Astyanax mexicanus: one gene and its partner. The protein of the gene in region 1 purifies or fractionates together with the protein of each later gene. This does not show direct contact. Links are inferred from orthologs where the notes say so. Each region holds a gene or a part of one and is shown on either strand. Other genes may lie near its edges.

Region 1 (16,878 bases):
TGATTCTATACCTGTGCCATGGTATGGGTGGCAATCAGGTACCGTCCTGTCATCTCCTGTGTCTTTTCTGAATCATTTTGTGTAACTCGCAGTGTATGCAAGTTAGCCTTACCAATGCTTATGGGTGAAGTGAAAAACATATGCTTCTTGTTTTAGGAAGAAGTGTAAGGATCTAAGGCTTTGTTAACATTACCTAAGCTATCTTTCTTAAATCTGATTTTTTGCTCCGATTGGATTTGGCTATCGTGACTGTTCACATTCACAAATGTTAGTGATCTGTATCTGTGTGTAATGTGAAAAAATCTGTCCCTGAAACGCCTGACTTGCACATTGATACGTTTATAATCGTTCTCTTCTTCACCAACAACAAAAAACATGTTTGAGAGACAACTTGTAGTAGTTCACACAACCATATAAAAAAATCTGATCTGAGGCACATTGAGCAAAAAAAATCAGATTTGAGTCACTTCAGCCTGGTAATGTAAATGTAGCCTAAGCAATTTTGAAACTGCTAACATTTTGGTGCCAGATGCCTTCACAGGTCTTGTGAAATTCATGTTTTGAAACCTGAGATCTGTCTTAGTGTCTTTAAAATATTAATATATTGAAGTATTGCAATAGTGTTTAGATTTGCAAAAACACTGTATTGATGTTTTACGAATAGTTTACATGAAAAGATTGGTGTCAGTGGTTAATTTACTGTGGTGTAATTTACTGCAGTGTTGTACTCTGTCTTCAAAGCACACTGTTCTGATTGCTTATAAAGTGTAACTTTTCTTAACTCAGATGTAATGATTAATAGTAAGTAGCAAACAATAATCCTGTTTTTCTAAAATTAGATTAGTATATGCCTTGCTTGCAATATCACAATATTTTTCCATTAAAAGACTCAGTTATACTCAGCAACTCAGCACATTACAATATTCTAATTTAAAAAGCAGTAAAACTACACTGAGATATTATATTACAGTACTGTTCCCTACTTAAAAATACAGTTAAGAACCAGCATTTAAAAAAGTAATCATGGTTTTATTCATGATAAAATATTGTTGTGATTTACCCAATTATTTATTTAATTTAAGGTATTGTCACCAATAAAACAAATCTAATTGTTTGCAACAGTGGACAGGAAGAAAATGTGTGATTAATCATATTTAATTTATTTAATTGGTTGCCACCACTAGTATTTTTTACAAAAAGATATATATGATACCTGTAGGATAGTAGGAGAGGTAATTTTATGTACAGTAAAAAATTGTCCAGATCTGTTAAATACTTAAATTTCCACCCCTCTAATTCTACAGCATTTTGAATACACAAGTCGTCAGGAGCTGCGTCACAACACTGCGCTGCAGCTGTGTCTGCATGCAACGATTGCACCGGAGCCTGTCCGCATTGAGCTGTGCAACTACAGGGGTGGCAGCACTGTGCCAGCGCCACAGCAGCAGTGGAGCTTAAAGCTCCTCTCACCACAGGTACAGTAGATACAGCAACCAACTATTTCATTAAACCCACATCATTTCTATCCAGCCAACAATACCCAAATAGGGTTGACTGGCTCTGTGGTGGTCCTGTTTGGTCCAAACCATTAAATATCAGGGTGAATGTAGGATAGTAATAAAATATACAAAGAAACAGATACAGGACTACAGTCTGTAATTACAGAACTACAAAGTGCTCCTATAGGATCAATGAAGTGGATAAGATCTACAGAAAGTCCAAAAAACAAAGAGGTGGTTTAATTGGTTATTTTTGTGTTTGGTTGTGCCTGGTGTAGACAGTGTTAAATCATTTGAGATTGAGATTGAGATTTTTAAGTTTTCAGTATTAAATTTGACCACTTCACGTGTCCTTGTCTGTTTCCAGTGTTGTCTCCTGGAGTGTGAGGTGTTTAAGAAATGTCTAACAGTAGAGGGTGGTAAAGCTGTGATGAAGAACTGCAATCCTGCTGACAAATACCAACACTGGACATTCAGCTGACCAGTATCGGAGTCTGGTTCTGAGTTTGTTAAAATGAGAAATTATGTTAATGGATTGATTTTGTAATGAGCTACGATTTGTGCTGTCCTGTGGATTTGTTGTGATCATCCTGTTTACTGCTGTATGTCTAGTTCAAAGATAAAGTTATTTTTTGCAAAACAGTGTGCATAAATTGTGCATTTTTTTTAAACATTTGGGCAAGTTTGTGTAAGCCAACAAACAAATGAAATTGAAAACATGCCCATGTGTGTTTGCTTTGTGGGGATTTGAGGAAAGTCCTGCTATAGGCATATGGCAAACTGTTTAATCACTGAGTTTGTTTACATGTACTTCATAATCCCATTACTACAGAACGTTACTGCAGAGTTTGTCGGTAATCTGATCAACGTTTTTACATGGACTTGGGTAAACAGATAATGGGAAAACTCAAGAGTGTACAGGTCCTGTGGGGTCCTGACTATTGAAGAACTGGGTATAGGGAAGAGAAGGTGTAAAGATCCTAATGATGCAGCATAGCTCTTTTAAGTTAGTTCTTTATTAGGCTTATTGCAAATGTATTGCACTTAAATGTAATGTAATGTAATGTAAACACAGTGAATGAAGCTATGAAGCCAATTACGCTTACCTCATGGGGACCCAGGGAGGTGAATGAAATAGCTACTAACACTTTCCATGGTAGATTAGACAAACATTTCACACCTTACCTGAACCTACATTATTAATACATGGAATACCAGTAAAAAAAAAAAAAAAAAACACTCAGCCTTTACAATTATAGCCCAAGGCATCTGTGAGCTCATGTATCGGAATCGAGTCGTAATGCATCAACAGCAGTTGGAAAAGAGGTGGTGGCTGAATTCACATGTATCGGAGGAGGCATGTGCTAGTTTGGTATTGGGGTTCCAGGAAGGTTAAGTTTATAGAAATAACATTACAGTAACATTCTGAAAATGTATTATAGTATTAACAATAAGTTGTTTATCACATAACGTTGCCAGACAGATGAGTGCTAACATTACGGAAACGGTGGAAGTAACATGCCCTACCATGCCCAAAACTAAAAGTAATGTTGCAGCAATGTTACCAGAACATATATATTTTTTTTAATAAAAACGTTTGAAGAACATTCAGAACCCTTGCCAGATTAAACCGTCTACTAACATAAAGTTGTTAGCTGGGCTTATTAAATAATAAGATAAATGCAGTATTGCGAATATGAACAGATTTGGAAGGGTTGGTTTGCATATAAACACTAATTGTAAACCCAGATTTATATTTATTTTGTGACAAAACGTATTAAAAATGGCCCTCCATAAGAATATTTGTTGTTTTAGCAGAGGTGCCAATTATAGGTCCAGAAAGTAGAAATCCACTCCAGGATTGTGGCTCTGCTGCAAACCTGTTCTGCACCAGGCAGGTGAAACACAATCCTGGGGTGGATTTTTACGTTCTGGATCTGGATTTTCCACTATTGCCTTGAGTACCTCCTAAAGTTACACTGTGTGCTACAATATTTACTTTATCCAGCAGGAGACGACAGGAGTTGAACAGCAATACCAGGATAGCAAAGAACATTGAATTATGCAAAAACGTATTTATTTAAATAATAATGCGGATTTTATTTCTTCATTTCAGTAGAACTTGGCACAGTGCCAACACTACCCAAAGTACCAGCTGGTCTTATATAATATTCTTATTTTCTGAGAGACTAATTTTAAACGATCAAATAAATAAACGCTTAAAATTTATCACTCTGTGTGTAATTTATCTATATAATAGATTTCCACATTTTGAACTGAATTACTGAAATAAAGTAACTTTTCAATGATATTTAATTTTTTTTAGATGCAGCTGTACATGTTTAATGTAAAGTTTATTACAGAGCACACATATGAAATATATGAAGCCATGAATTAATGTTCAATAAACTAAAATCAATCTTTCAAACTTTTTTAATCTGACGATTTAACCCTTTCAGACCCTGCATCCATTACACTCGACATCATGTATTTTCTTTATTTTAAAATGTTTGTTGCACATAACACTATTTAAGAGCTGTTGTTCATCAGAAAATACAATGAACCAGCCAATGAACGAGTTTATAAACTAATAAAACATTAACAAAAACAGTTGTACTTGAGCCATTGAGGCAAAGTAACAGCTGATTTTTACTAAAATAATGTGATTTAGAATACTTTTTAATAATGTTTTTAACTGTTTAGGAATAATTTATGAATAATTATTAATAATTATTTTTTTCCATCACTGGAGATAATTCAGGTCTGAAAGGGCTGTAACGTTGTTGTTTTTAGCATTACAGAGATTAAAAAATAAGAACGTTGATTTAACGTGCTGGGTGTGTTGGCTTGACCTGTCAGTCCTGATCCTGATCCTGGTGCCTGGTGTCTGATTGGCTCGCAGCGCCTGCTGTTGACTGGTAGCCCCGCCCACCGCTCCGCCTGTAAGAGTGTAGTAAGCGTGTCGTCACGGAGCAGAGCCGGGATGGGAAGTGGAGCGAGTGCTGGTGAGTTTCTGTCTAAACCAATAATATCGCGCAGTTCCGCGGAGTCACGACGGGACCGGTGAACGAGGAAGCGCTCGGGTACTAATGTGCGGCTAGCTCTCTCTCACTGACACAGCTCTCCGCCCTCCGCTGCGCTGTTTTACCCTCCCGCCGCGATTCTCCGCCGCGTTTCTCCGTGTTTACCGGGAGCAGATAGATGTGAGTAGCTGTGTGATGGTGCTGTGTGCAGATTACCGTTATTAACTACACCGCCTGCAGCTCTAACTTCACGGTAAACCGACAAATAACTGCTGATTTAACCCAAAGTTACCGGTAAACTGCTGCTCGCTCGGTTAGCTAACATTAGGTTAACTAGTTAGATTAACTGTAACGTTACACGTTTAACAGGTAATTTATATTCTACAGACACAGGATTTTAACTCTGTAACTCGTAACTAGCTAACCTAACTAATTAACTAACTAAGCTAGCTAACCAACTAAAGCTAGTTAACCTAACTGTTAACTAGGTTTGGTTACCTGCACCGTGTTTACACCAGTGCAAATAAACCGAATTAGCTGCAGTAATATCGGTTAACGTTATTTCAGGTGTAGCTTTAACTCTAGCTTTTTAAACTCGTTCACTGAGGGGCACTTGCTCCATAGCAAAAACACTATTAACCCTTTCAGACCTGATTTATCTCCAGTGATGGATACAAATGTTAGAATTCTCTTTTCGGTCTGTAATGCACAGAAAATGAAACTCTCATATTCTATTATAAAATATTTATAGCAAATAATATATAATATATATATATATATATATATATATATATATATATATATATATATATATATATATATATATTTATTTATTTCCATCGCATTGGAAGCCAATGTTTAACATTTTCATATTTCATTTTGACCTTTTGTTCCACAAATAATCCCTAAACAATAAAAGAACATGATTAAAAAGTGTTCTGAATCACAATAAATTAGAAACAGTTAGCTGTTCCTTTGCCTCAATAGCTCTAGTGCTACTGTTTTTTTTCTGGTTAATGGTCTATTCTGATGAACAACAGCTGTCAAGTAGTGTTGTGTGCAACAAAACATAAATACATAATGTTAATTTTAATGGATGCAGGTTTTGATAGGGTTAATCTAAAATAACTTAGTTTACCAGTCGTAACTCAGTGTTTTTAGCAGTAAAATGACATACATCTAAATTACATACTGGACAATCTATCTCTGCACTTTCACACACATACTCTATAGATTATTTGCACATGTAGGGTTATCTGGGATTGTAATATCTATATATTCACTTATATTTTACCTTACATCTACACTGCAGTACCATATGTCTACAGTGTTATAAGTTATTGTGTATATTGTTTAAGTTAATTGTATACTTTCTATTTTATTATACTTATTCTTCTCAGCTTTGTTGTAAATATTGTTCTCTGTATTCTGTGGGAATCTGCACCCAGGTTTTTCACTCACCTGTACACCTGTACTCTGATTTGATTTGATATCTGTAATGTAGTTTAATCTACTATAAATTATTTTATATATCAGCTACTTCATATTTACTAGTAAAACATTCTGACTAAGCATACTATTCTACTGTCGATTTACATGCAATTTCACTCTGTTGTCAATAAATGACATTTTTCAATAAACAAAATCTAGTTACAGAAATCTGCTATTTCCCCTAGTAATAAAGTTATTATATATTTTGATATGTCCACAAAAATTAGCCTGTCACAACAATAAAAAAAACAAATTGACTTATTGTACTATATATTAGCATAATACTTTTTTTATAACCTAAACTAATCATTGTTCTTTCTGAGCAAGAAAAGCCCATTAATGTTTTATATGTGTAAAATATTTTAACATTACTATATTCTAACTCCTAAATATTAAAATGAATCTTAAATTATAGTTTTAAATGATAGTTTATAGTCCAAAAACTGGTGACAGTTATGACATGCTTATCTCCACAGTAATTCTCACCAGGTCCACATATCATTTGACAAATACATTAATATTCTCCAATGTAGTTTTAGCTAAAGGGTTTAGCTGGTCTTATTTATAATGTTGTTGTGTCTGTCCCTGTTTTGCACCGCCACCGAAGAGCCCAGCAAAGTGTCTGGAGGGCAGCCGGGTAGGCCTGTGTATGTGTGTGCGGTAGATAGGGCTGGGGCGGTATTGATTTTTTATAACCGCGGTAAAAAACTAACGCATCACCGCGATATTGCGGTTAACCGCGAGACCACAACCCCCCCCCCCCCCCCCCCAAAAAAAAAAAAAAAAACACCGCAAATTTATTGGTAACAAATCTTTATTCTTCAAACCATACAGCCTACATACAACTTCTACATAAACCATAAATACAGCATAACAAGTGAACATATGCTGCCTGTATAATTCGTCATTGTACAGCTAACCTGTCTTTTTCCGTGCAGACTTTTTGAAGGAGGAGCTTGTCCGCCTCCCCCTTCTCCATCCATAGATCTATTTTAGGGCTGGCCCGAATAGCGGTTTTGAGCTCAGGATATTCGGCAGTAATTGGTAGCGAATATTCTAATATTCGTTTAAAAAAAAAAGACGAATTAATCCACAGCAAAATTTTCCACTGACCCCCGGCCCCGAAAAAAATATATTTCTCACCCCTTTCCTCGGGCCGTTCGGGCTCAAGGCTCAAGAAGTCTGTGATAGGCGTCTGTTTTTTTTTTATTCACACTCTTCTTATTTCTCATTAAATATCTACTAGATACAGATTATATCTGTACAGTATCATTTATTTCACTTCCCTCCTGAATATTTGGAGTGCATTATGTCTCCTTATGTTGTGATGTTATGTAGTTTTCACCCCAGAATTTCTGCTGCCTCACACCAGGCTTCGGCTGCATCGCAGGGCAGGAGCGCAGCTGCGTTACGGCTATTTCGTTTGAATTGTGCAGTGCAGAGTATTACAGATTTTGTATTTTTGCACTTGGGCTATTAGCTCAATATTAAATATTTCGTTTGTTTATAAATTATTTTATATTCTTAAACCATGTTAAATTATATTCGATTGGAGGAAATTAATTCAGACATCATTTCTTTTTTGTCCCGTTACCGTTCCGCAAAAAAAATCCTTCTTTTAATCCCGCATCAGCCCGCCACATACACAGTTTTGCCGCACCTGCCCCGCGGTCCTAAATAAATTTAATACATTACATTTAGTGCTTAAAATTAAAAAAAATATTTATTAAAACCGCGCGCGGTCACGTTTCTTACCACATTACAAAAAAAAAATCGGTGTGTGTGTGCGCGTGTCGGTCCATTCTCCGCTCCTTTTTTGTGCTTAGGGTTTTTTTTGTTGCGTGCATGAGAATCACTGCGTGATTATTACAATTTTCTTAACTATTTATTAATGTGCTCCCACATCCTCTGGATTGATTAAACTCCTGTTCCCGCCAATAACAATTCAGTTCTGTCTGTGCCGCAAGATATCCTGACGGGACCCGCGTCATATAATATGTTGATTAAAATGTCGTGACGTTAAGAAATCGGCTCGCAAGAGACAACCGACCAAAAAAAAGACATTAGTTCCATTTTAAAATAATAGAAACCTGTCCTTTATGTTTGACAATTTTTGTTTCACTTTACGTGTCCTTACTCATCTGAAGTTTATTTATCTGAACTGAGTTTCATATGGTTATATTTGTAGCGGTTCTGAACTCAGTTCCGCGTGCTGTGAAAGAGACAAGGCGCAGCGCATTTTACCTCAGACTTGGTCAGATAACAACATTTCAGTAAAGATGGTGGTTATAGTTTTATATCATTGCTTTGCTGTTTGAACTACACTTCAACCAACCTTACTATTTTTACCAAGACTGAGGCGCAATGCCGCGCGTTCTCCGCGGTGCTCACGCAGAACAGCCAGCAGCCAGACAATGAATTAATATATTTTACTTTCTCAAAATGTGACCACGGAACACCTTACATGGCTCTATGGTTTACCTTGAGGTGGGTGAATTAGTTTGATGTGTTGGCGAGAGGTGCAGACACCACTTTCCGGCAAATCTTGCAGATGATTCTCTTCTGTTCTGAGTCTTTTTCTTCCTTTTTTCTCAACTTACTGAGCCTGCCCTGTAGCTTCCATTTCCGAGCCAATATTAGTGCTGCTAATCTTCACTCTCTTCAGCAGCCTCAATGGAGACGAAGTGAGCAGGACCTCAATGAGTACCACGCACCGCGTTTTGCTTAACCCATTCGCTGCCGCGCCAGTGCAGCGGCAGCACAGATAAATGACAAAAAAATTTATATTCGATATTATGAATTTTGAGATCGTTTGACACCAATATCTATCGCGATCAAAATATATTTGATATATTGCACAGCCCTATAGTGTAGGACTTACACTTGACATATTAATACTGAATTCACCACAGTTGTGCTTATATGGAGCATTTTACTACCGCTCAAAACGCAGTCAATCAGATTTGACAGCCATAAAAAAATGCGGTAATGACGGTAATGAGCTCATCACCGCGGTGACGTCCCATAACCGCGGTATTGCGGTAATAAAATTATCGTCACAGCCCTAGCGGTAGATGCTCAGGTACAGCTAGACTGGTGTGTAGTAAAGTGTGTGTGATAGAACTGAGTGGTAAATCGAATTCCTTTGATTAATCAATTTATTGTTTTAATGCAAGTTTTAAAAAGGGGTAATCGAGATGCATATAAAAGCTGCCTAAGGGAATTTCAGTATATATATGAATTTATTTAGACTAAAACGGCTTATAATATATACTGGCTAATAACACAGGAGTAATGATATGTTGTAGAAGTATTAGCTAAGGGGTTTAGTTGGGTTAATAACTGTAGAGAAGATGGGAGGAGGATGGGCTTTTTTATAATGTTGTTGTGTCTGTCCCTGTTTTGCACTGCCACCGAAGAGCCCAGCAAAGTGTCTGGAGGGCAGCTGGGTAGGCCTGTGTTTGTGTGTGAGGTAGATGCACAGGTACAGCTAGACTGGTGTGTAGTAAAGTGTGTGTAATAGCGCTGGGTGGTAAATTGAATTAATTTGATTAATCCATTTATTGTTTTAATGCAAGTTTTTAAAAAGGGGTAATTGAGATGTTTATAGAAGCTGTCTGAGGGAATCTCAGTATATAGGCTTGTGTCTATCAGAAACCTGTAAAGAACTCTTCTATGTGGAAGTGATTTTTGCTATTATTAAAAAATAGCTAAATTAATTTTTTGTATTGATATTGGTTTCATACAAGTGTTGTAATGCTTGCACACTTGTGACTCCCCTGAACAAAAAAAAATACATTAATATTAATAGAAATTATACATGTGGCATGTATAAAAATGTAAAAAAAATAAAATAATAAAACTTATTATTAAGTTATTTTCAGCTGGAAAAAAAAAATAAAATATATATATATATATATATATATATATATATATATATTATATAAATATCGCCCAGCCCTATAGCATGTTTGTGCATGTGTTAGTAGCAATATAATACTGTATTTTGCTTTTGGCAGATGCATAAGTCTTTTGAAGGAGATAGGAGGGGTAAGGAACTAAACAGCTGAGATTAAGGAATATTTACCGCTATCTCTTTGCTGTGTTTCGTTCGTCTTTCCTTTTTTTTTATATTGGTACCTGAATACTGTATTCTTGCGCATGCTACTAGTTATCTTCATACTAATGATTTGATTTTTTTTTTATAGAATTTTAGATTTTCTCACTCTTATTGCCAATCAGCGCCTCTCTTTCTGGGAAGTGGGCTTTGGTGGTCTCTTCATTCTACAGATTCAAGCATGCAGATGTTCCTCATGAGTCGTTTTGCTTTATTTTCCTAAGCTTTGCTATGTAAAGTCGAAGAGTAAATAATCCACTCCTATATTTCACCGTCACATAAGTCTGGAATTAAACCTTTAAAAAATAAACACATTCAAGGGAAGTTTTGTTGTGAGAGCAGTACATAAATTTAGCTTGTTAGCTGCTGTGTGAGCTTGCTACCATGTATATTATTATAATACTATTATCTGATTATTTGGAGTATGCTGTGTATTCCAGTATACACAGCATACTCCATTTTCATAGATTGGATTAAGATCTAAACATCTGAATAAGCTGATTAAGGTAGCTGGGTTTTAGCTCAGTAATCAGAGTTTTGGTGCTTCTAAACTCTTAAGTGGAGTATTCTTGAATTTCGTGCATATGTGAAAACAGACAGTGGTTCCAAAAATAAGCGAGCAGTGTTTAACACAACACCTGTAAGATGATGTCCAAATACTTTTGGAGAGATACTGAATCTTTTAGCTGATTCATGTTCATATTGCAGCTTTTGTGTGATGTTTACATCACGTCTATTATGCGAGTTTATTGGCTGGTTGCAAAGCAAAAATCTGATTATTGCCTCACTTAAGTGAACTCTGAGTTGCCTCATTATCTGATTACCCAACTGTAAGTAAATACATTGATTTGGTTACTCTGTTCAGTAATTATCATATTATGAAGTTAATGCAAATGAACTTAAACTGGACGCAATATTTTGTTGATTTGGGATATATATTGTGATAATATGAGTGCTCGTCAGCACACATTGTGATAACCGATATATTACGCATTTAAATCGCAGCTAACTGGGATGTCAAAATGTTAGATCTTTAATAAATGTTTTTAAGATAGTTTTGTCAGTGCTTTTTCGTTGAAAATCGGGACAAAAATACTTTTAGGCTATTCATCTCATCTGTGGTGAAACAAAAGTTGCAAATTGAATGAAAACCTCTGAAAAATTTGTTAAGTATCCTGTGTTTGGCCTTCAGACAAACTGTTAATTTTGTTTGGTTTTGGGTTTGGCAAACTCTTGACTTTAGTGCATGACTAGTTTTGGTTCATATTTAATGAAAGTGGTAAAAGAAGCTGTGCATGTAGGCAAGTTGCCGTGTAAAAAGAAGTAAAAGTAAAAGAAGTTAGAAAGGTGAGAAAAAGCTAACTCTTTTATTTGTTACAGAGAAGATGAGCGCCCTCCCGCTCTCTCGTTCGGAGGTGTTCGGGGAGCTGCGAAAAGAGCTGTATGAGGATGTGGAGTTTCATCACTCCGACGTGCACATCTTCATCATCATGGGGGCCTCGGTGAGTGAGAATTTGTAATGGGGGGATGATGGTGTTAGTGTACCTATAAAGGATTGAATCTTAATCGCCTGGTTTTCCAACATAAGATCTATTATTATTGCTTAAGATGTGCTTCTCTTTTAATCTTTGCAAACGGAAGATGTTGTTTAGTTTGTTTCTAAACTTGGCCTAATTTGGCTACAAGGAGTTCTGGCCCAAAATCTAAAACTTATTTATACTGGGTCTCATTCATCAATCGCTGCCTTTCATTTTTTTTGTACATAAGTTATTCAAAAGGTGACGTGTTTATGAAATGTAGGATTGTTCTGCTCTAATAATGATCATTTCACTGTCCTCATAAACCGAACGATTCCCAAACACTGTAGGTCTGTTACAGTAATCACATTATCAGCTTATAGAACAATATATGGACATAACTTCAGTCATTTTTGCTGACTGCAGTATTACCCACTGTGCAAGTATGCAGTTGTGAGGACATTTATTTATGTATAAGTATCATTATATCAACACCTTAATTAAGTTGCTTTAAAATGACAATTATATCAGTTATACGATTATTAGTCAGACACTGTATAGTCCGGTATTGGCCTACCCAAATAAGAAGACATTGGGGAATGTCAAAATTAAAAAAATATATATATATATATTAGTGCTGGGCGATAAAACGATATCGATAGTTATCGAGGAAACTATATATCGCGATAAGTCGGGGCGAGAAATTCGATAAACTAAATTTTCTATTTCCCGTTTAAGTAGCGTTGTGAAAAGGCGCAGCACGAGATCAGGCAGCACGCTGAACTGCTGCTCAGCCCAGTACAACCCCTCCCCTCCCCTCTCCACCATCCCCCTCCGCCCCACCCCCCGAGCCCCTCCACTCTGAACTCCTCACATAGCGGCTCCTTCTCTCCCATTTACTGGATAAACTTCATTTATACTATTCAGCGGCGCTACACTGGAAAACTCACCTTTTAAATATGAGGCATGCGTCTCCAAGATATTTAGAGAGGTGAGCTTGTTCAGATTTCTGAAGGCAGGTAAACGCTGCTCTGTTTGCTGCTAGTTAGATTAGCTTGTCTCCAGTTTAAAGTTAGCGATGTTTAGGTGTAAAAGGGATCTGTGCAATCTGTCATCATTAGCTAAGATGCTTTCACTGCTTTTTACATTCTAATAAACTAATGGGTAACGCACGTTAGCCGTGTTAATCCACGTTTCGTGTAAATTAAGGTTAACTTCAGCACGAGTGAGGGGTTAGTATATAAACACACAGAAAGGAAGCACTTTCCATCTTTTTTCCTAACTCTCACTGTTTCTGTTAGAAAACCCTGAGGGCAGCATTCTCCTCTGTCTTTGTGTTTTATAGTTTTTAACAGATAGAGAGTCTGTTATGCTGGATATTTTACTAAATACAGAAGATTATATAATCTGTCTAGCTGTATTTGAACTGAGCTAAACATTGCTGTTACTGAACTGGAGTTTTAAATACACTTAAGTAATGTAAGTCTAGTCTACTGAAAGCCAGTAATGTTAGTATAAATCTGTACTGCAGTAGAAGTGGATCATTTCAGAAACTTGACTTTATTCCTCCCACCTCCATTATAGGCCACTTTTTTTTTTAAATATTTAAATGTTAGCTTAATTTAAATGAAAAAAAAAACTAAAGGCTCTTATTTAAAAAAAAACATAAGCAGTAAATTATCTAAAATTACAACAAATAGAAAATAGAAAAACAGTAAAACATATGTAATACATACTTTTTATATGACCAAAATTAAACTAGACTGAAATCTGACTAAAACTAATAATATCCGATAGACTAAAATGTAACTAAAACTATTATACATTTTAGTGAAAAGACTAAGACTGTATCAAAATCACCTGTCAAAATGAACACTGTGATATACTCTTGTATTTTGCTTTATGTAGTTGCCTGCATTCAGGGAGGGGAATGATCTTTTGATTAAATATAATTTTATAAAAATAAATAAAGTGTTATTGCAATTTAAATTAAACAGACATATAATGTAAAGGGTCTTACATATTTTTTAGTTTATATATTTGTCCCCTTTTTAAAATTAATTTAAAAGCTGTACCCACCTGGCAAGATGTTAACATCCTAGTGTCTGTCCACAAGGCTCTGAGCCTGCTAGTGATTTTGTCCATAACTCCCTTATTCTGTCACTTCTGAGTAAAAATAGAAACCTTTAAGTGTAACAGAAAGTGATTTGATTTATATCGTGATACATATCGATATCGGCTGATATGAAAAACTATATCGTAATAAGATTTTTTTCCATATCGCCCAGCCCTAATATATATTTAAACTGTGAATAAACAGATTTTTCTGTTCACCTGAAAAAGTAAAAGGGCTAATTTATTAGACTAATTATGTTTTATTGCAGAATATCAGAGCACTGCTGTTTGAAATTGCTGAGGAGCATTTGTAGTTATTAGAATAGCACTACTGAGGTAAATTCATTTAGGCTATGTAATGTATTCAGTGGTGGAAGAAAATTCAAATTTAACGTAAACCTGCAAAAAAAAACTATTCTGTATTTGTTCTTGATCCAAATGTTTAATTGTTTTCTGTTTCAGATTTAGCTAAAAGGTTTCCTATTTGTGCATCTGTTTTTTTTTAATAGTTGGTGAATAAGGCCCATTGATTCTTCCAGTTTTACAGTTTCATCCATTGTTATATTATCATGTCATATCTCTCAGCTCTGAGGCTGTGGGTGCTTTGTCTCTGAGGAGGAAGTTAAGGTGTAGTTTTGCAATCGAGGAAAGGAAAGTGGACTGCAGAATGAGGAAACAGAGCAGGGTTGAGTAATATAGTAAATCAGTCCAGTGCTGCTTAAGTCCGTTTCAGGGCCCTGAATATTGATCAGTCAGATACAGTTACGGCAGACCACAGATTGGCCAACTGTTATGAAATTTCTGAGTGGTTAGACTTAGGAGGAAGTAGGCCTAAAACTGGGAACTAACTAGAAAAGAGGTTTATAGAAGTCCATTACAAATGGAAATAACCTTCCTAATTGTGTTTAGTATAAAAGAGGTGGAAGGACGGGCCTTGGGGTGGGGGTGGTATTTAAGGATTGTACAGGCAGTGGCTTTTTGTAAGCTGTGACACAAAGCCTAGGCTGGTGTTGAGGTAGGGGACAGGTCCTCAGTAGGACTGCTGGTCACACATATGGAACAGTCTAACAAGGCTCTCCACACTGGTTGCTTAGTTTTCCATCATTTTGGCCAATTGTCCTTGTGCTAGTGTATTTTTACATACACAAATATTTGTAGGTAACCGAGAGATGAGAAGGATACATCAAATTACTCTGAACCTCGGTTGGATTTCTCTGCTGTAAATAAAGTCCTTCAGTTAGCAACCTAGACATTTTTTTAAAGCACAATATTTTTAACTCAGCAGTGCTTTTCTAATAACATGTTTACCTCAGCAGTGCTATTCTTATCATTTATATATTTCAGCAGTGCCATTCTAGTCACATTTAGCTAGCTAGATATAAGTGGCAAGTGGTGCCATTCTAATCACAAATCCGTGCACAAAACAGTGCACAATTAGTTGTAAACTTACCTCAGCAGTGCGACTCAAGTTACATGTACATTACCAGTTAGTACAAGTACAAGTTTGGACACAAACTTCTCATTCAGTGTGTTTTTTGTTTTCTTTTTATGATTTGCTACATTGTAAATTTAATATTAAAGACATTAAACATTTTGTTAAACAGTGTTAAACAAACCAGAATATGTTTTAGAATTTAGATTCTTTTAAGTAGACATATTTAGCTTTGATGGCAGATCTTCACACTCTTGTTATTTTCTCAGAGGTTTCGTGAAGTAGAGTCACCTGGAATAGTTCCTGGAGGTGCTGAACAATAGTTAGCTTCTTTTCGGTTATGCAGTTGTCTAGCTTATCCCAAACCCCCCCCCTCCTTCAAATCACCAACTCTAGCCCTGTACAGCTCGTAACTTTAAGCTGGAAAACTGTTTGTGGAGAAGATGTAAACTAATAGTGAGCATGATCAGTGATTCTAAACGCTTTAATTAGTTTAATCGGTGTGAGTACTTGCTGTATTTGTAATTTTCTGCCAAATATTTTAAAATTAATAAATGCATGCCTAGTATAGAGCAGTTTTTTTTTCCAGATAGTATAGTACCGAACCTATTGGTGATAGTTCTGGTTAAGTGCTGCTGTTTGACCTTTTGTTTTAACTGTTCAGATTATAGTGCAAATGAACAAAAATCAGCTGGTTTTGCAGTTCTTCTGTTACATTGTTTTTCTTTTTTTAAACAAACCAGTAAATTCTCTGCTTGCCTTAACTATAACAACATGTAGCATCAGGAAATAAGGGTGTAGCAGATACACAGTGGCCTCCTCCCTCTGTGTTTACACTGCTTTTTTCCCCCTTCAGTAGAGCATTGGTAGAGTGAACAGATTGTGCGGTATCATTCCCAGTCAGCACTTTTCTTTCAACAGGCTGGAGTGTAGAGGGAGAGAGGGGTGGAGGGAGGGAGGAGGTCATGGCTAGGTAACTGTAGCACTGCTGGCATTAGCTTTGGCACTGTGCTGAGACCTGTAGGACTGAATTAAGCAAGAGTTTCAGCTTGTCTATCTTCCCCTCTCCATCTGTTCACTGAAACAGTCCCACAACTAGGAACTGGACTAAGAATGCACCACATTTGGCAACCAAAATTATTTAGTTGAAAAGTAAAAAAAAAAAAATTGAATAATTTATACAGAACTCATTTATTTTGAGTGTCTATAATATTAGATTACAGGAAGTGAGTGAGGGAGACAGCTGGCAGACATCAGACACCAAGTGTAAGTTAATTTGTTTTCATCTGTAGGTGCATGAATTAAACAAAATAAAGCATGTTTACTACCTTTACAAACAATGGCTGTTTTTTAGCTGAAATGTACAAGCTGCACAGCCTGAAATAGTAATGTTTGCTTAAATAAATTAGACTTAGCATTTGTTTCTGTACCAAAAGTCTGTCTGCCTTTATCTGTGTATATTTTACTCAAATATGGCTTGAGTAGCACTGCTGAGGTAAATTCGTGATTAGAATAGCACTGCTGAGGTAAATTTATGATTAGAATAGCACTGCTAAGGTAAGTATAAAATTAGAATAGCACTGCTGAGGTAAATTTGAGATTAGAATAGCACTGCTGAGGTAAATTCATGATAAGAATAGCACTGCTAAGGTTAATTCACGATTATAAAAGCACTGCTGAGGTA
Region 2 (17,652 bases), on another chromosome or scaffold:
TTAAGGCTAATGTATAATCATTTTACATACAAACATAAATGTGTGTGCTTTAAACGTTGTAACCAGTGGCTTTTATTGCAGACAAATACACTGAGCATCTTTTACACTGGTAGAAATATTAGGAAATACATCCACTAGAGGGCATATCTTAGTCAAAAGTTTCAGAAACCAAAACATATGGTGATGGAGGTTGTAATACTGTACTACACAAAAAAAGAGAAACACAAAAGAGGCAGTGGTTTAAACAGCTATAAATGGCTGTGTCTAATAGTTCCAACATTAGCTTATGAAATGAATGAAATGAATCATCATGTCCATAACACAGTGGCCATGTTTTGCTCGACCTATGGCTTTGTTCTATCCACATCCATAAGCTTTCAAAGAATGTGTACAAAGATGGACAAAATGAATGCAGAGTATAGACAAAAGGCTGTATTTGCTATTCTGTGTTTAGTGATGAGTGTAAATGAGCCATAAGGCTACCAGGCTCTACTATGCACTACATATGTCTTGAGCAGATGTTTACACAATGTCTCCCGCTAGCTATGTCGCTCACTGTTACACCATGCAGTCAAGCTGAAAGTGTGACAGTTAGCATGTAGTTCCTCATTTTATTTGAAAACATGCATTGGCATCTGACGCAACAGGCCACCCAACTCCTGGTACAAGCTGTGGTAATCTCACACCTCGACTACTGCAATGCCGTACTAACTGGCCTCCCGGCCTGTGTAGTAAAACCACTACAGATGATTCAGAATGCAGCAGCACGTTTGGTCTTCAACCAACCAAAACGGGCACATGTCACTCCGCTGCTCATTGAGCTCCACTGGCTACCGGTTGCTGCTCGCATCAAATTCAAAGTGCTTACAATCGCCTACAGGGTGATGACAGTACAGGCTCCTTCCTACCTGCACTCACTCCTGAAGGCTTACGCTACCTTCCGGCCGCTGCGCTCCTCCAATGAACGTCGCCTCGCTTTGCCAAACACTCACACAAAGCAATCCAGACTGTTCTCATACAGAGTTCCCCAATGGTGGAACAAACTACCTTCCACTACCAGATCAGGAGAATCTCTCACTATCTTTAATAAACTCCTGAAGACAGAGCTCTTCAAAGAGCACTTACTCTCCTAACACCTCTAACTAACTACCTTCTACTACCAGATCAGGAGCGTCCCTCGCTATCTTTAATAAACTCCTGAAGACAGAGATCTTCAAAGAGCACTTACTCTCCTAACACCTCTAACAAACTAACTAATTCTAACCTCATCTCCTTCTTCCTCTTCTCTACTCCTCTATCCCATTATTTCCCTCTGACCTCCTTAAGGCCCTATCTATAGATGCTTTATTTTTAACTTCTATTATTTTTGTACTTAACCTCTTCTATTATTTGCACTTCAATATTGTAAGTCGCTTTGGACAAAAGCGTCTGCCAAATGTAATGTAATGTAATGTAATGTAATGCATCAAAGCTCAACAAGCTTGGAGGAGAATGCTAAATGCCAATCCATTCATACAACAGGGCCTGCACTGAATCATGTGGGCTATTCTAAGTAGATAAAAGAGGATACTGTATACAAGTGAATTATGCTGCCACTATGGCTGTGCAATATTTTGTAACTATTGAAATATTTAACTATTTTACACTAGATACTCAGTATACCAACTGGGTGCCATTTAAATCCTATAAAAGATGCGTAGGGATCATTTGTGTCGTAATGGTTTGGTTTCTGAAAAGATGACACTCAACAGAGTTTGTAGAAGCATCAATTCTTATTAACTAACTTCAATTCACCTCAAACAACATCCAGAGCAGTTTACTTAGACACTGAACTACCATCAAGAGTGTATCTTGAATCTAATAATACACAAGAGGGAGTGCTATAACGTGTAACATTGGCACTGCTGTGCCGCAGACTGAGTGCCGTAGATCAGCACAGCATTGCCAATATGAAACTTTTTAGCACGAACCTCGAGTTTATTTTGTGATTATGTCACTAGGGTTGCAGCGGTAACCGGTTTCACGGTATACCATGGTATTAAAATGCACGGTTATCATACCGTGTGTGTTTGCTTATTACCGGTAAAACGCAAGCCAGCGGAGAAACTCACCCGCGCATGCGCAACTCTGCTCCGCTTCAGCTGCTCAGCACACAGCGGTGAGAACAGCAGAAAGTGCATCAGACTAAACAAATCTCCGTCCGCCTAAAAAAAGGCTAAACTAAAATCAGCAGTGTGGGACTATTTCAGAGACCCGCCGAACGCACCCGAGGATGGTTATCCGATTTGTAATCAATGTGGCCGTAAAGTCACAGCTAAAGGTGGACATACGTCAAACCTGTTCTCCCATGTCCATGAACACCACCCCGCCGTGCAGCGCAAAGTATGTGTTTAGTTTATAATTTTAATCTGAACATAAATAAAACCTCTTTGTAGTCGTGCACAACCCATGCGATAAGCGCCCGCAAAAGCGCTGAGTTATCCGAAATTTGGGCACCCAGGTACAGGCGTGAAGTGCGTGCTACGATGGATTCACGTGTCCGTGTAAAGGTCCTGGCCGGACTGGATGTGAAAGACGCCATTCATTTACATGCGTTAATTTTCAAATTCTGACGTGCCTGTTTTTCATGTGTTAAAACCAGACTCTGTGTGAAAGCCTTAAAATAGAAATATCTATTGTGAGGATCATGTCAGAAATAAATCCCCTCTTTCTGCAGTATCTGGTTATATACCAACTTGGCAGTAAAACGGACGTTTACAACAGTTGTTGATCAGACACTGACCCAGGCTCAGTTTATCAAATATTAAATAATTTAAATTTAAATAATTGTACTGAATATTTTAAATACAGGATCTTTTATATACACCCTTAATGCCCTTAAGAGTAGTGGAAAAACCTGGTTTCCTTCACCTAATGGTGTACAGTTTATTTTTTTTAAGGAGACATTATCTATATAGTTGTTCCAGGTTTCTACAATAAATAGTTAATTGAACAAAAAACCTTTGTTGTAATTTCTTTAAGGGTCAGTTTAATAATATATGTAACAAACTGTGATACCGTGATAACCGTGATACCGCGGTATTTTCTGAGACGGTTATCATACCGTGAAAATCTCATACCGTTGCAACCCTATATGTCACAGTTCCATTATCACTGTTTATTGAAAGTTAAAGTTTGAGTTAAAGAGGACGAGAAAATACAATCTTGGTTTTATACATTTATAAAACCAAGATTGTACTAATACAAATTTGGTTAAAAAAAATTAAGTGAGATAAAATGGTTCCATTGCTGCTCTGTTTGTAGCAGCGCTCTTTGGCTTGTAGGCGCTGCATCATTGCTAGGTTACCTGTATGTGGCGGAGTAATACATGGAGAATTTCGATTACAGCACATTACCGGCTGATAACGGCACTAACAGAACACCTTTCAGCCAATCAAATTGCAGTGTTGGATCTAAACGTGGTATAATAAACAATGTATATTACTTAAATACACAATTAGATATTAACTGATTATTTTTGTTGTTACAATTACTAAATTAACATTTTTAATGTTTTTTTTTTTATCATCCCATATTGTATTAAGTATATTGCCATTCCTCTTAACCATATCAAGACATGAGTTTTTTATTCATATTGACTAGCCCTGACTAGGTCATATTAACTGCCACATATCTAATTAAGTATATATAATATTTTAGTGTTTACTGTTTCCCCCCACACACCTGATCCAGCTGATTAGCTAATTAACAAGCCCTTTCCTGAGCTAAGGTGATACATAATGTATTTCATGTTTGGCATGAAGCTGGATTTCTAAAAACAAAATCAAATAAGATTAATATCTACCTGACAATTTCCACTTTAGTGGCACACTCCGACTGCTTCTCCTTCCACTGAGCATCGTCCCAGTCAAGCTCATAGAACAGCACCACCAGAGAAGGCACCAGGTTCAGGTGTTTATTCATCCAGCCTGTCTTCAGGATGCCTTTAGGAATGTACCACTCGTAGGAGGTCCTCTGGAAGAACATGAACAGCACTGTCATGAAAGCAAAAGATAGATGAACTTAAAAAATAAGCACACGGTGGAATAAGTATCCACTCTTACCTTAGTTCTACACTTCGGGTACTCGTGGTCACCTGGCAGGACTTTAAAGGAAATGGGCACCCTGTCTGCCCTCCTGTTTGCACAGAAAGCGTCCCATATGGCTCTGTGCACTGCGTTATACACCACATCCAGACCGGTCAGAGCCACGAAGGCCATTGGCCTGCAGCACAGCTCTGGGGGGAGATCCCACTGCGTCGGACTCATCTTACCAAGAACTGGCCGTTCAAGAGGGGAACTAAAAAAAAACTAATAATGCAATAAAGAATTAATGACAGAATATTTATTTATAATTATTAACTAATAATTATTTTACTTATGATGCTGCTACTGAATAAACGTCATGGAAAAGATGTTAATCTGTTTCAGAAGGGTCAAATTATTGGCATGCCTCAAGCAGAGAAAACATATAATGCCGACCTTACACCTAACGATTTTCAAGCGATTTTACTGTCGAAGATTTCCAAATATTAAGAGTCAGGATAAAATCACGAGTCTTGCTAGAGTCGAGTTGCATTAGCGTCATCTCAATCTTTCAGTGTTAGGTGGTTAGGACTAAAAGTTTTAGTAAGTCAGATTCGCGTCCTGAAGCTCTAATAAAATCAACCCTGTTCATTATTACAGTAAGTTTTGAGACTTTGCTTACGCAAATAATGACTCGAACAATGTCAACAACCAATAGGAGAGCCATGGGAAGCCGCAATGCAAGAATATTTTACGGGTTGAAGTTAATATGTACAGTTTTTTAAGCACAGGTAGCACTTTAATGTCATCATATTGAAAGTTATTATATTTTGCACTACTTTGATCTATTGTGCAGTACAATTTTTGATACAAACACGTTCAATAAATACACATTCTGCAAGACTGGTGTTTTTTATTGCATTACTTCTATCTAAAAGAAAGGCAAATGTATAGCAATGAAACTGTGATTCTTTGCTATACAAGGTTGTAGCAAAAAAAAAGGGGGGGATAATAATAAAAAAAAGCTTATAGAACGAGTGAAAAACAAAATGTATTCTATTAAAAAATATCAAGAATTAACATTGCGACAGAAAAATAAACTGATGATATAAAATATGTATTGTATGTAAACTCCACCATAAGCATGATGGAAAATAATCTCAGAAAGAATCTATTAGTTGCGGTCTTGCAGTTAGTGATCCCCAGTCTTAGCAAAGTTTTAGCAAGTGAGTAAAATACTATGACTAGTCTTTAGATGTAAGAGGGTGTCAAGACTTTAGTCTGTTACAGTCTTTTCAGAGTCTTTTTAAAGTTGTGCAGTGTATGGACAGTATAAGGAGATTGCTGACACTACTAAAATCTGGTTAATATCTGTCCAATGCATTAATAAAATGTGGAAGGACAGTGGGGAAACATCATCTTCTAGGAAGAAATGCTGTAGGAAAAACGTTCTGAATGAAAATAAATGTTTGGTGAAATCAAATTGTAGAAAAATAAAACTAGAACTCAGGATATGTTTAATAGTGAAAGTAAGAGCATTTCCACACTCACTGCAAAAGGAACTAAAGGGATTGGGACTCAACAGCTGGGTAGTTTTAAGAACTCCACTAATAAGTGATTAGATGTAGTTACTATTTTTTGTCATGTCAATCCCTGTTTTTCACAAATACTCGGCTACACTAAAATGCACTTTTAAAATAAAATATAGATTGATTAATTGATTGAAAGAGCTAAAAGAGCTTAGCTAGCCACTCAGTAGCTAAGCTAGCTAACTAACTAACTAGCTAACTCACAACATGTACAATAAAACTCTAACAAAACAATAATAAATGACTTGCGTGGATTTTAAGCAGCCAAAGAGACAATAAGAGGTGATTTTCTGCAGGGTCTTCTTTATTATCTCAAATTTCAGAGAGTTTAGCTACAGTAAACAGTAAGAGGGCCCTAGCCTGAGTGCACCGAGCTAGCTTAGCAAGCTAACCAGCCTCCTGTCAGCTGAGCTCACCCTGATACACAAACAGCGTATATACAGCTAATAATATTAACACTATGGCTTTTAACTTAGCAGAATTATTAAACAGAGCCTGCTGAAGACTGATAAACACTACAGAGAGGTTTAAACCCTGTTAAACTGCAGAAACTAGAGCAGTGTCAGCACAGACTAATCAACAGAGGTAGCTAACAGAGGCAGAGTCACACCAGCCTGAGCTAGAGGCAGTGACGAGATAATTAATCAGGTTACCTTTTACTGCTGCAGTCTGTTAAATCCGTCTACATCCACTTCATTTACATTAAACCCTGATTAATATCCGTGTTTATCTCCCAGAGCAGCCGGGCCCACACCCCATGACCCTCCGCCACAGCCACCGGTGTTGTGTCGCGATGTGCTACCTCGTCGAATCGTGCTACCACAATGTGGATCCAGTTAAAGCTGCTGAAATAAAACAGTAAATAGAGCGTTTTAAGCTAAATATAAGCCCTGCTAAATCACTGTATTAGGTGGATAATATAGCTAAAAAAAATAACAGTAATAATAAGTATTTTCATTTAAAAATTCAAATTAACCATTTTTAATCACGCAACTAAACAACATTATGAGCTTAGACTGTAATTATATTGTAGCAAAGAAAAGGAAAAAGACAAAAAGGAAAATCATTATTATATGTAAAAAAAAAAAAGCCTGTGAAAATGTGTATCAGCGCATGCGCAGTGCATGTAAGTAGCACATATCGATGGGTAGAACAATATGACAGAGCACCGGCGTTTCTAGACAGACTACCACTTCCCCATATCCCTGTTATAGCAGTAAACACTGCAACCGCTAGGAGGAGCCCGCGAGAGAGTCCAAAATGAATGGAGGTGAATAAAGCTAAACGGCTAAAACTCTAATTTCAAACAGTTACTAACCTTTTCTCCAGAATTTTATTTTAATTATGTAAATGACAATGATGCATTTCACTAAAAGAGCAAAGATATCCTGCTTATATATTTTAGGTTTTCTTCAGTAAACGGGTTTTAGGCAGTAAAAGTGCTAGCATTACTGCTACTGTATGTATATTGACTGGTTGGTGAGCTGATGCTGGAGATAAAAGGTTTATAGCTGGAGTTTAAAAGCTCAGTGATAAAACATGTAGCTAATATTGTTCTGTTTTAAGAAAATTAGTATGGAGCCCCTAAGGTGATATTATGTTAAAAAAATGCATGGCCACGACTTATTAAGGTGTGGGAATGAGATCCTAAGGTGTGGGTACAAAAAAATTAAGGCATGGGAACGAGATCCTAATGCATGGGAATGAGATAATTAAGGTGTAGGAGATCCTAATGTGTGGAAACAACTTATTAAGGTGTGGGAATGAGTTAATTAAATCGTACCCATCAAGGCTTGGGAACAAGATAATTAATGCGTGACAATGAGATAACTGAGGTGCGACAACGAGATAATTAAGGTATGGCCACGACTTATTAAGGCATGGAAATTAGTTATACCTATATTAGTCGTCCCTATTAATGTGTGGGAATAAGTCATAGCTACATGTTAGGATCTTATTCCCACACCCTAATAAGTCATGGCCGCACATTCAGATCTCATTCCCACACCTTAATAAGTCGTGGTCACAACTTAATTATCTTATTTACTCGCCTTACTTATCTCATTTCCATGCGTTAGGATCACATTCCTGCACTTTAATAAATCATGGCCACACATCATATATATTTTTTACATGATGTCACCTTATGGGCTCTGTAAATTACTCAAATTTTTCACTATACATTTTTTAAACATTAATAAACTCTGATTTCGCTCAATTGAAAAAAATTGCATTAAACTGCATTTATTCATTTAAACAAACTCAGCAGACATTATTAAGCGGGTAATCTACTCTCTATAGAGAGTCTCTGGCTCCGCTTCATCTGCGGCTTTGTGCTGCAGAAAGAGCCAATACCAAATTACTGCACTCTACTGGGCAAACAGGGCAATTACTATCTTATTGTGGACAAACGGGGGCAATTGCTGCCCTCTGATGGATAAACAGGGCAAATTCTGCCCTTATTGTGTAAAAGGAATACAACTTTATAAAATTGATGTTTTATATATTTAAAAAACGTTATAAACACCTTACATGACTGTGGAACATATATCATCACTTATGGAAAAAAACATCATAAAATAGAATAAAATAAAATACAAAACACACAAGGCTTCCACCTTTTTTGATTGAGAAATATATATATTTTTTTTTTAACATAGTATTTTTAACATAAAAAACACCAGCAGATGACATGTCTCTCCCAACCATCACTGATTGGTGGAAACTTCACACCAGACCTCAAGCAGTTTGAACTGTGTGTCTCTCCACTCTTTCTCCAGACTCTGCTCCCTTGATTTCCAAATGAAGTGCAAAATTTACTGATGATCAGTGATGGTTTGGAGAGACATGTCATCTGCTGGTGTTGATCCACTGTGTTTTATTATCAAGTCCAAAGTCAGTGCAGTTTTGTTTTCCCACAAAATCTTCCTGCACTTCATGCTTCCCTCTGCTGACAACTTTTATGGAGATGCGGATTTCATTTTCCAGCAGGACTTGGCACACTGCCCACACTGCAGAAATACCAATTGATCTTATATAATATTCTAATTTCCTGAGACACTGATTTTTGTGTTTTTATTGGCTGTCAGCCATAATCGTCAATAATAAAATAAATAAAGTCTTTAAATAGATCACTCTGTGTGTAGGACATCTATATACAATATAGGTTTCTCATTTTAAACTGAATTACTGAAGTAAATGAACTTTTCAATGATATTCTATTTTTTTTTAGATGCACTAGTATTATACATGAGTATTATGTTAGTGGGTACACGTGGTTTGTGCGTGTGTGACGTTTTTTGTGAGGGACCGGTCCTGCGGGGAGCTGAGAGAGCAGCACCATGGCGGATAAAGCGCAGATTCAAGAAGCCATTAAAGTTCAGGGGGAGGTGGTGAGGAAACTGAAGAGCGATAAAGCGAGTAAAGATCAGGTCAGTGTGAGCGAGCCGCCGCTGCTTAAATACTGCTGTTATTAGAGCTGAATACGGGCCTCGTTTACCTGTGTTTCTACATGTGCTAGTTAATGCTAAGCTAACCTGGTGCCGGTCTCTGTGGCCTTCTGTATCATTAATCAGCATTTTTGTACATGTTCTTTAGCTGACAGCAGATATCATCAGTGCAGCCTCAGTTTTCACATTTAAAGAGGCTGTTTTACTGTTTATAATAGCCTTCTAATGTTAATTTTTCAGATTTGAATCGCCTTTTTGAATTGTCCGTTCCACCTTAAATGCTACAGTTGCCGCCTAGGTTTCCGTTCTTATTGTGTCGCAGGTGCCGCATGTTACCGCTGTAAATTTTAAGGTGGAACGGAACTATTGTAAAAACAATAAGGCATCAGGTTAAGCTTCGTTGCTACACGTGTACAAAAGCAAAGCTAGCACATGTTTTGTTATTGTAATGTAGTTTAAGACTTTATTTATGTACAGTTAAAATATTGATGGTTTACTGGGTCAAGCTGACGCAATATCAGAGCCAGAACTGTCATCAAATCATAGTAGACAAACAAAGCACATATTGTCTTGAGTTAAGTATTATTTAAACACTTATTTACTAGCAACCAGTCAAAAAATGGACACACATTTTCTCTGTTTCTGTTTTCTTTATGTTTATTATCTTAATGTTGTAAATGTAATATTGAAGACTATACTGAAGCTAAATAGCAAGATGCATAATTATTTTTTATACAGAAAGTGTTTTAGAAACATTTTTATTTATTTTTCCAAATAAACCCCAAATACATTATGTATTATACATAAGCACAGGTTGTGATACACTTACAAAAACACATACGAGTACCAACATGAAAAAAAAGAAACACACAATAAGACATTGTAACAAACAGTGATTGGGGCATAGTAAAAAGCCTTCAACTAAAACACTGACACATACACAGCAACATTCTTTGCCTACAATGGCAATAAACTCAACACTTAAAATATAGTTCTTATTTTTGTTTGGCATGATACAATTCTGATATCGATATGAACAGTTTGAAAGCCACAGCCCTTTGTGTAAGTAATCACAAACTGATAGAGCTGGATGATATGTTAAAAAAAATTGTATCACAATATTTAAAGACATTTTCACTATACACCGTATTAATCATATTTTCATCTGCCATGGCAGATACTTATGTTCTGTTATTCAAATGCTTTTCGTAGTACACAGTTCATTGGATTCTTATTTAATTTTTGCTGGACATCATCTAATTTAACGGGAATTTACACACTCAGTGTCAGGATCAATGTTCTTTAAGTACAAGTGATATAATCAATATGCATTTTGTCTGTTCAATACAATAAAATATCAATATATTGTCCAGCTTTACCTAGAATTAAATATATTGACATCGAAGAAGTTTTTTTTTTATCTTATGGAAAGTTGCAGTTTTGGAGATTTTTTTTATAGATCATGTTTTTATCTTTGTCTTTGCACTTGTTCTGCTTCACATTTGGGCCATTTTCATTTAAAGTGTCTTTCTTTAAGTTAAAGTGATTTGAGAGGAGGTGTGTGTGTGTGTGTGTGTGTGTGTGTGTGTATGTGAGTGTGTGGTTATTCTGATAATAATGTCAGAGCAGAAGCTTTAGTGTCCAGTTGATTTTGACTCCATGCTCTCATGTTTTGCTCCCTTCATTGCTTCATGCCTCGCTTGTGGGCCGCGGCCCCCTAGTGATAGGGTTGCTCACCACTTTTCTCCTGTTCTTCCTGCTTGTTGCTGCGGATACTGCCTCCATACCTGGGCTCATCATCTTCATCACCTTCATCGTCTTCATCATCTTCCGCTGAATTGATGTTGGAACTGCTGCTGTGATTTTGCTGTTGGACTGCCGGCTCATTCCCCTGGACTGGGATTGGAATTGGGCCTCTGCTGTGTGCACTGACTTTTTGGGGCCTCCTGATATGTGGACTGTGCTGCTGTGTTCCTGAACTGTGTGCTGTGTGTTTGTGGACTGAAACATGGCTTCTCTGGGGCTGGCATGTGTGCGTCTCTGTGCTGGACTGACTGGACGACATGCTGTACCGTGCCTCCGCTCTCTGCGCTACCTCTCTGGAATGACTGTGTCTCAGGTAAGAAAGAGCTGTTTTTACTGTGCACACTCACACAGCCTGTACTGTGTACTGATAAATGGATCTGGATATAGATTTGGAGTAGTTATGCACATAGTAGTTAAAGTTATAGTAGTTATAGTTATGCACATAAACACAGCTTGTCTATAGATATAAAGGTCAAAGCATTGAGCAGTGGAGCAGACTCTGGAATAAAGGTGCTCCATCAAATACATTTTCAGCCACACTGTATAAACATATATACTGACATTTTAGTTACATAAAACAAAACCATACCATGCTTCAAAAAAAAGAGAGAAAACTTTATTAAATTCAAAGAAAATACTCTTCATAAAAGAAGCTAGCGCTGCCTCCAGCCGATCTGACCTGAGTTTGTCTTCCCTGTTGTAAGATTCTCTTCCTCGGCCTGGTAATGGCGTTCATCCCTGTGGACAAAACAATCTGAAGAGTAACAGCATTAATGGAGAGCACCATCATAATTCCACTATTTACACATTCAGTCTCTGAGTTACAGGTTAATCTACATTTACTCCGTCTAACAGTTAATCTAATACACTTTAAGTAACTCAGATACAGGTTAATCTACAGTTATTACATCTATCTGTTAAACCTTTTGCACTGAGCAACTGCCTGACAATGCTGCACACCAGCAGGGTTTAGCTTAGCATGCTATTTGGGGTTAGCTTAGCACACCAGCTGCATTTAGGTGAACCGGTGAATCAGCTAAACCGGCTAACGGTAGCTTCAGCCGGTCACGTCTTACTTTACTTTTCTTTACAGGTCTTACTTTTGTACAGGCGCAAACAACACTGGAAAACAACTTAAAACAGTGTAAAATGTACTAGTTTCATAAACACATGCAGCAGTAAGTGGAAATACAGAAGTTCTTACATTTGTACAGAAACTCCCCCGCAGTGACGACTCCTGGGTGCCGTCATTCGTGCTTCAGCCCTGCTTAACTGATCACTCCAGTCAGAGGGCGGTGCTCGAAAAAAGGATGGTCTCGCGAGATAAAACGTGAGACCTTAAAACCGTATAACGTATATACTCAGAAAATTGGCTAATTTTAAGAATCCATCTCGGGTTTATATAAATTGATATTGGATGGTTCAAATGAACATTGATTTAAAAGGAAAAATAGATTTTTTTTTTTTTATTTCAAAATTTTCCCATTTTCTCACCAATTTACACGGCCAATTACCCAACCCACTCATTAGGACTCCCCCTATCACTAGTGATGCCCCAACACACCAGGAGGGTGAAGACTAACACATGCTTCCTCCGATACAAGTGAAGCCAGCCACTGCTTCTTTTCGAGCTGGAGGAAAGCACAGCGGCTCGGCTCCGGTACATCAGCTCACAGACGCCCTGTGCTGCAGACATCACCATGGGAGTGATGTGGGGAGAGAGCACCATCTACCCACCCAGCCTCTGAGCGCCGGCAGCTTGATGGCAAGGCTGCATGAGCGGGGGTTCGAACCTGCGACCTCCTGCTCATAGTGGCAGCGCTTTAGACCGCTGGACCACTCGGCGCCCAAAATAGATTTTTTTAAAACACACCCCTAATTACCACCCTTGTTTAGCTGTTACGAGTTTTATAGATTATGTCCTTAACTTCAAATCAGTTCTTATATTGTCTACTGTATATATTAATATTGCAGATTGACGAGGAAGTTGCCAAACTGCTACAGCTGAAGGCACAGCTCGGAGGAGACGATGGCAAACACACATTTGTTCTCAAAACTGCCAAGGTAGGACCATCTGTGATACAAGGTGTTTGTTTATCACCTGTTTTAACATGCTTTATGTTTGTGTGATCTTTCTGATTGTGTGCTCGTGTACAGGGGACCAGAGACTACAACCCTAAACAGATGGCCATCAGAGAGAAGGTCTTCAACACCATCATCAGCTGCTTTAAACGCCATGGTGCTGAAACCATCGACACCCCAGTCTTTGAGCTCAAGGTATCCTCATCTATACACCAGAGCACCAAGTTCATCAAGAGTTTCCTTTTGTCTTTTATTTTGATGCACAGCTATGTAAAAATTCTGATATAATCTGTTATTATGCATCATTTGGACTTTAATTTTTAATAATATATTTACACTGAAATTCATTGTTAAATAATTAATACAGTACATTTTTATTATGCAGTTTTAACTAAAGTGCTCCCAGCAGACCAAAAGTCTGGTATAGTCAGGATTACGGGTGTGAGCATAACAAACGTGTAAAATCATAGTAGTGCACATCTTTGCCTGACACAGACAACATCGTGCATGAACGCCTTCTGCGCCAGTTTGTGTGCATATGTGAAATGCAAATATGTCTTCTATATATGCCACCTACTGGACAGGGTGTAGATTAATTACTGTATTTTTCGCATTGATAGGTGCACTTAAAATCCTTTAATTTTCCCCAAAAAAGTCAGGTGAGCATTATAATCTGTTACCCCCTATGTATGAATTTTACCAGTCAGGAGCAGTAAAGCCACTCTGCTGCATTATAAAGCATTTTTAGTTTAGTCCTCCAGTATTAGCCGTTAAGTGCTAGCTCTTTTGCTGTTCAGAGGTCAGTATATCGGACTGTAGTCTGCGTGTTTACCGTGTTAAAACAAGCTACGTGGGACGAACCACTAGGTAATATCACCCGGGCTTACCAGAGCACTCAGGGTTCCTCAGTGTAGCTCTGTCGCGCGGCATTAGCCACTAACCGTGGCTAGCCTTAGTGGAAATCTGCAAATGTAAGCTTACTGTAAATTAACAGGAGTGCTTTATTTATCCAAATAAACAATTTTTAGGAGAGAAATCTGTGTAAATCTGTTGCTTATTAGTGTTGCACAATACGGCTTATAATCCAGTGCGTCTTGTATATGAAAATAGACCAGAAAATAGCCAATCATTGATAGTGCACCTTATAATAAAAAAAAAAAACGGAACACTGATAATGTCTGTTTTTGTATGAGTATCTATATTTTTAGTAGTGGTGTAAAGCGCTGTAAATAACGTTAGGTTAAAATAAAATTAACCTAACCTAACCTATTCTTTTCTCCCCTATTCATAGGAAACTCTGACGGGGAAGTATGGCGAGGACTCCAAACTCATCTATGATCTCAAGGACCAGGGAGGAGAGCTGCTATCTTTAAGATACGACTTAACTGTATCCTCTATATGTTACAGAGAGTGTACTATTGGTGGAAAAAAATATATGCAATATACTTAATATCATGTATTAGTTACATTATACTTCATACTAAACACTGGAGAATCTATTAAATGGGTATAGCAGTGCTCTCTGCTCACAATTCAATTCACGATCCTGGATTCATAATTTTTCAGATTTTCTCACATTATATTTCTTAAGTGTATAAACAGTGCACCTTGTTTAAATGCTCCTTGTACTGTTCTAAGTGTAAATTAATCACTTGTTTATTTAGGCAATCTAGAGTGAAACTATCATTGTCTAAGCAGTCAGATAGAAAGGAAATATAATTCATTACTCTACTTAAATTCCATTTTACTTTGATTTGCATTTAAAATCAAAATCTTATTTATCAGTCCACTAAATTATTGGAAATCTTTTCCAATTTTCCAGTTCCTTTTGGCCTGTGAGGGCTGTGTGGAGGATCTGTCGTGACTCTTGGCCAATGAGAGTCAAAGCCAGACACATCCTCTACCTTTGCTTACACCCATTGGTTCTTTGGACTGCATTAGCATGGTTATGATCTTTGCTGTTAAACAGAATATAAAATTGTATCTCATTTTTTTCATCACAATGCAACATGTTGTGATGCTTTGTTACACCTCTAGTAACTATAGCTTTTTTTTATATTTGATCATGATTTTGTTTCTACTCGATGCTGCTGCTGTTCTGCTTCCTTATCTTCTCCCCGCTCAGGTGCCCTTCGCCCGTTACCTGGCCATGAACAAAATCACAAACATCAAGCGCTACCACATCGCTAAAGTGTACCGCAGAGACAACCCTGCCATGACTCGGGGCCGCTACAGGGAGTTTTACCAGTGTGTGAGTACCGTGACGTTATAGATACACTAACACACGTTGTCTGACGTGTTTATATCGCAGGTTTTTAATTTCAGTTCTGTCACATGTTCATGTATGTGTCAGTCTGTGATTGGCCTGAGCTCCCAGCAGAGCAGAACCGTGTCAGGAATAATTCACTTTGTCTGCAGGGACCGGTTCTACTTCCCAGTTCCACACCAGTGAAACACACTCCAGTAGTGGTAATGGTGGTTAGATACAGGGGAGCTGACTGACTCCAGCTCAGCTGCTCAGAAACATTGTACTATATTAGGATCATATTGAACGGAAGAGAGAGTGTTTCTTGCGGTGCTCGCTCAACCATTCATTTACAGACATTTCATGTGAGCTGAGAGGAAACCCAGGCCTCTAGCTCACAACACAGATCAGAATCAGTTTGTTTATACCTGTGTATTAAGAGTAGAGCTGCATAGATCATAACTAAATATGAATTAATGAAATAATATATTAAATATATTATTATATTGACTTAACGTAAACGTTACTTTAATCTTTTGTTGTTACTTTTAGTTATAAAGGTCTGTTTAATATTTAGTGCAGTTGTCTCAGAACTCAGAGTCCCAGGGTGGTTGCACTTTTTATTTGTTTTATTTATTTAGGATACTAAAATATTTTTTTATATTAGAAACCCAATGTCTATTCTTGATAATAAAAATTAAAATGGTGTAAAATAGTGTTGTAATATTATAATAGTATTATTATGCTACTATTTTATTACTTTGGCACATTGTCTTCTGTGGAGCCCAGAAGCAGGAAAAAAACATTTTCTATAGTGGTGCTTTAAAATGACAATATTATCGTTTATCGCAATAGTTTCTGGGACAATATATCGTCCTGAGAATTTTGTTATTGTGACTGGCATAACCGAGCTAAAACTGGATGCAGGTTAGATGTGCCAAACATGGAATGTGGCAAAAGACATTGGAGACTATACTATTTTCTGTCCCATGACTTTTGCCGTGTTGGCATTACTGCTTCCATGAGGTGGTATATGGGGCCAGGACCCCAAACTCATCTATGACCTTAAGAACCAGGGAGGAGAGCTGCTGTCTTTAAGATATGACTTAACTGTATCCTCTTCATGATACAGAGTGTGCTCTATTGTTAGAAAATGAAATTTGCAATATACTAAATATATTGTATTAGTTACATTATATTATAACACTGGAGAATCAATAAATGGATAATATTTAGGGGTGTAACAGTGCTCTCTGCTTTAGTGGCCCATGAGTTTTGGCACAACGTTTGGCATGTAGCTCAAGCTCATTGCTGTCTGAATTGAAAAATTAAAGAAATAAGAAAACCGCAAAATATATATATATATTTATACTACTCCTAGGTAGATTAGTCTGTGTGTTTTGAGCTTTTGACTCTATTCATGCCCTAAGTTATATTTCGTTTATACCCTGTTTTAGGATTTCGACATTGCAGGTCAGTACGACCCGATGATCCCGGATGCAGAGTGTTTGAAAATCGTTTACGAGATCCTCAGTGAACTGGACCTGGGAGACTTCCACATTAAGGTCAGCTGACTGTAGCAACTTGGTGATAATTTGAAGGAAAATCTAATTTACATAGTTTTTTCATTTGTCTTGTTTGGTCATTAAAATTAGCCTTTGTAGTTTCTCTCTGGAGAAACGTAACTAAAATAACACACACTTCATTTTTGATATTCATCTTGTGTGAATGACAGGTGAATGACAGACGTATCCTGGATGGGATGTTTGCAGTGTGTGGAGTTCCAGATGACAAGTTCCGCACCATCTGTTCAACTGTGGACAAATTGGACAAGGTGAGAGAGCAGAATGCAAAGTGAAGTTCAGGCTCAACCTCTCTGCGGCGGTGTGGCTTTTATTATTCAACTAAACCAGGCAAAACTGAGGATCAATGTGATTCTAAATGAGCTTTTTTAAAACAAAATGTCACATGCATATTTAATTGGTTTTCTGATCATGAAACTTAATTGTTTTATGTCTCAGTTTGGAAATAAGGTTTCTGTTGTGTGAATATTGATCATTTTCACCGTATTTAAAGAGTTATTATACCACATTAACCATGTCAAGTATTTTGGCCTACACTGTTGTATTTCACCATTGTGACCATTTATACTTGTGCATTGGTGTGTCTGCATTGCTCTGCATTTACTGTATTTTTTGCACTATAAGGCATCCCAGATTTTAAGGCGCACTATCAATAAACTTCTATTTTCTGGTCTATTTTTATACATAAGGTGCACTGGACTATAAGGCGCATTTTAAGAGACACTATAAGGAACTTCTACTTCAGCAGGTCTCTTCACTAGGTGGTGATTAGGGGTAGCCAGAGACTGTATAAAAAGATGGACGCCGTGTCTCTGTTCCCATTCGTTCAGTGAA

The links.
Region 2: the proteins of g6pd (region 1) and hars fractionate together in Homo sapiens (co-fractionation; 3 studies listed by BioGRID). This does not show direct contact. The link is inferred for Astyanax mexicanus from reciprocal best matches to the Homo sapiens genes G6PD and HARS1.

The regions. Positions count from the first base shown.
Region 1 is NC_064420.1:16,496,762-16,513,639, reverse strand, and holds the start of g6pd (glucose-6-phosphate 1-dehydrogenase), read left to right. Parts: upstream 1-9,273; 5' UTR 9,274-9,377; coding exon 9,378-9,462; intron 9,463-10,017; exon of another isoform or gene 10,018-10,032; coding exon of another isoform or gene 10,033-10,063; intron 10,064-11,510; coding exon 11,511-11,632; intron 11,633-16,878. Other genes in the region: polypeptide N-acetylgalactosaminyltransferase 6, read left to right, coding at 1-38, 1,305-1,475, 1,867-1,980. UniProt on the Homo sapiens protein: Catalyzes the rate-limiting step of the oxidative pentose-phosphate pathway, which represents a route for the dissimilation of carbohydrates besides glycolysis.
Region 2 is NC_064409.1:70,907,402-70,925,053, forward strand, and holds the start of hars (histidine--tRNA ligase), read left to right. Parts: upstream 1-8,947; 5' UTR 8,948-8,994; coding exon of another isoform or gene 8,995-9,084; intron 9,085-10,823; 5' UTR 10,824-11,110; coding exon 11,111-11,221; intron 11,222-12,882; coding exon 12,883-12,972; intron 12,973-13,065; coding exon 13,066-13,185; intron 13,186-14,281; coding exon 14,282-14,377; intron 14,378-15,115; coding exon 15,116-15,241; intron 15,242-16,692; coding exon 16,693-16,800; intron 16,801-16,970; coding exon 16,971-17,069; intron 17,070-17,652. Other genes in the region: trappc11 (trafficking protein particle complex subunit 11), read right to left, coding at 3,845-4,014, 4,104-4,307. UniProt on the Homo sapiens protein: Catalyzes the ATP-dependent ligation of histidine to the 3'-end of its cognate tRNA, via the formation of an aminoacyl-adenylate intermediate (His-AMP). Plays a role in axon guidance.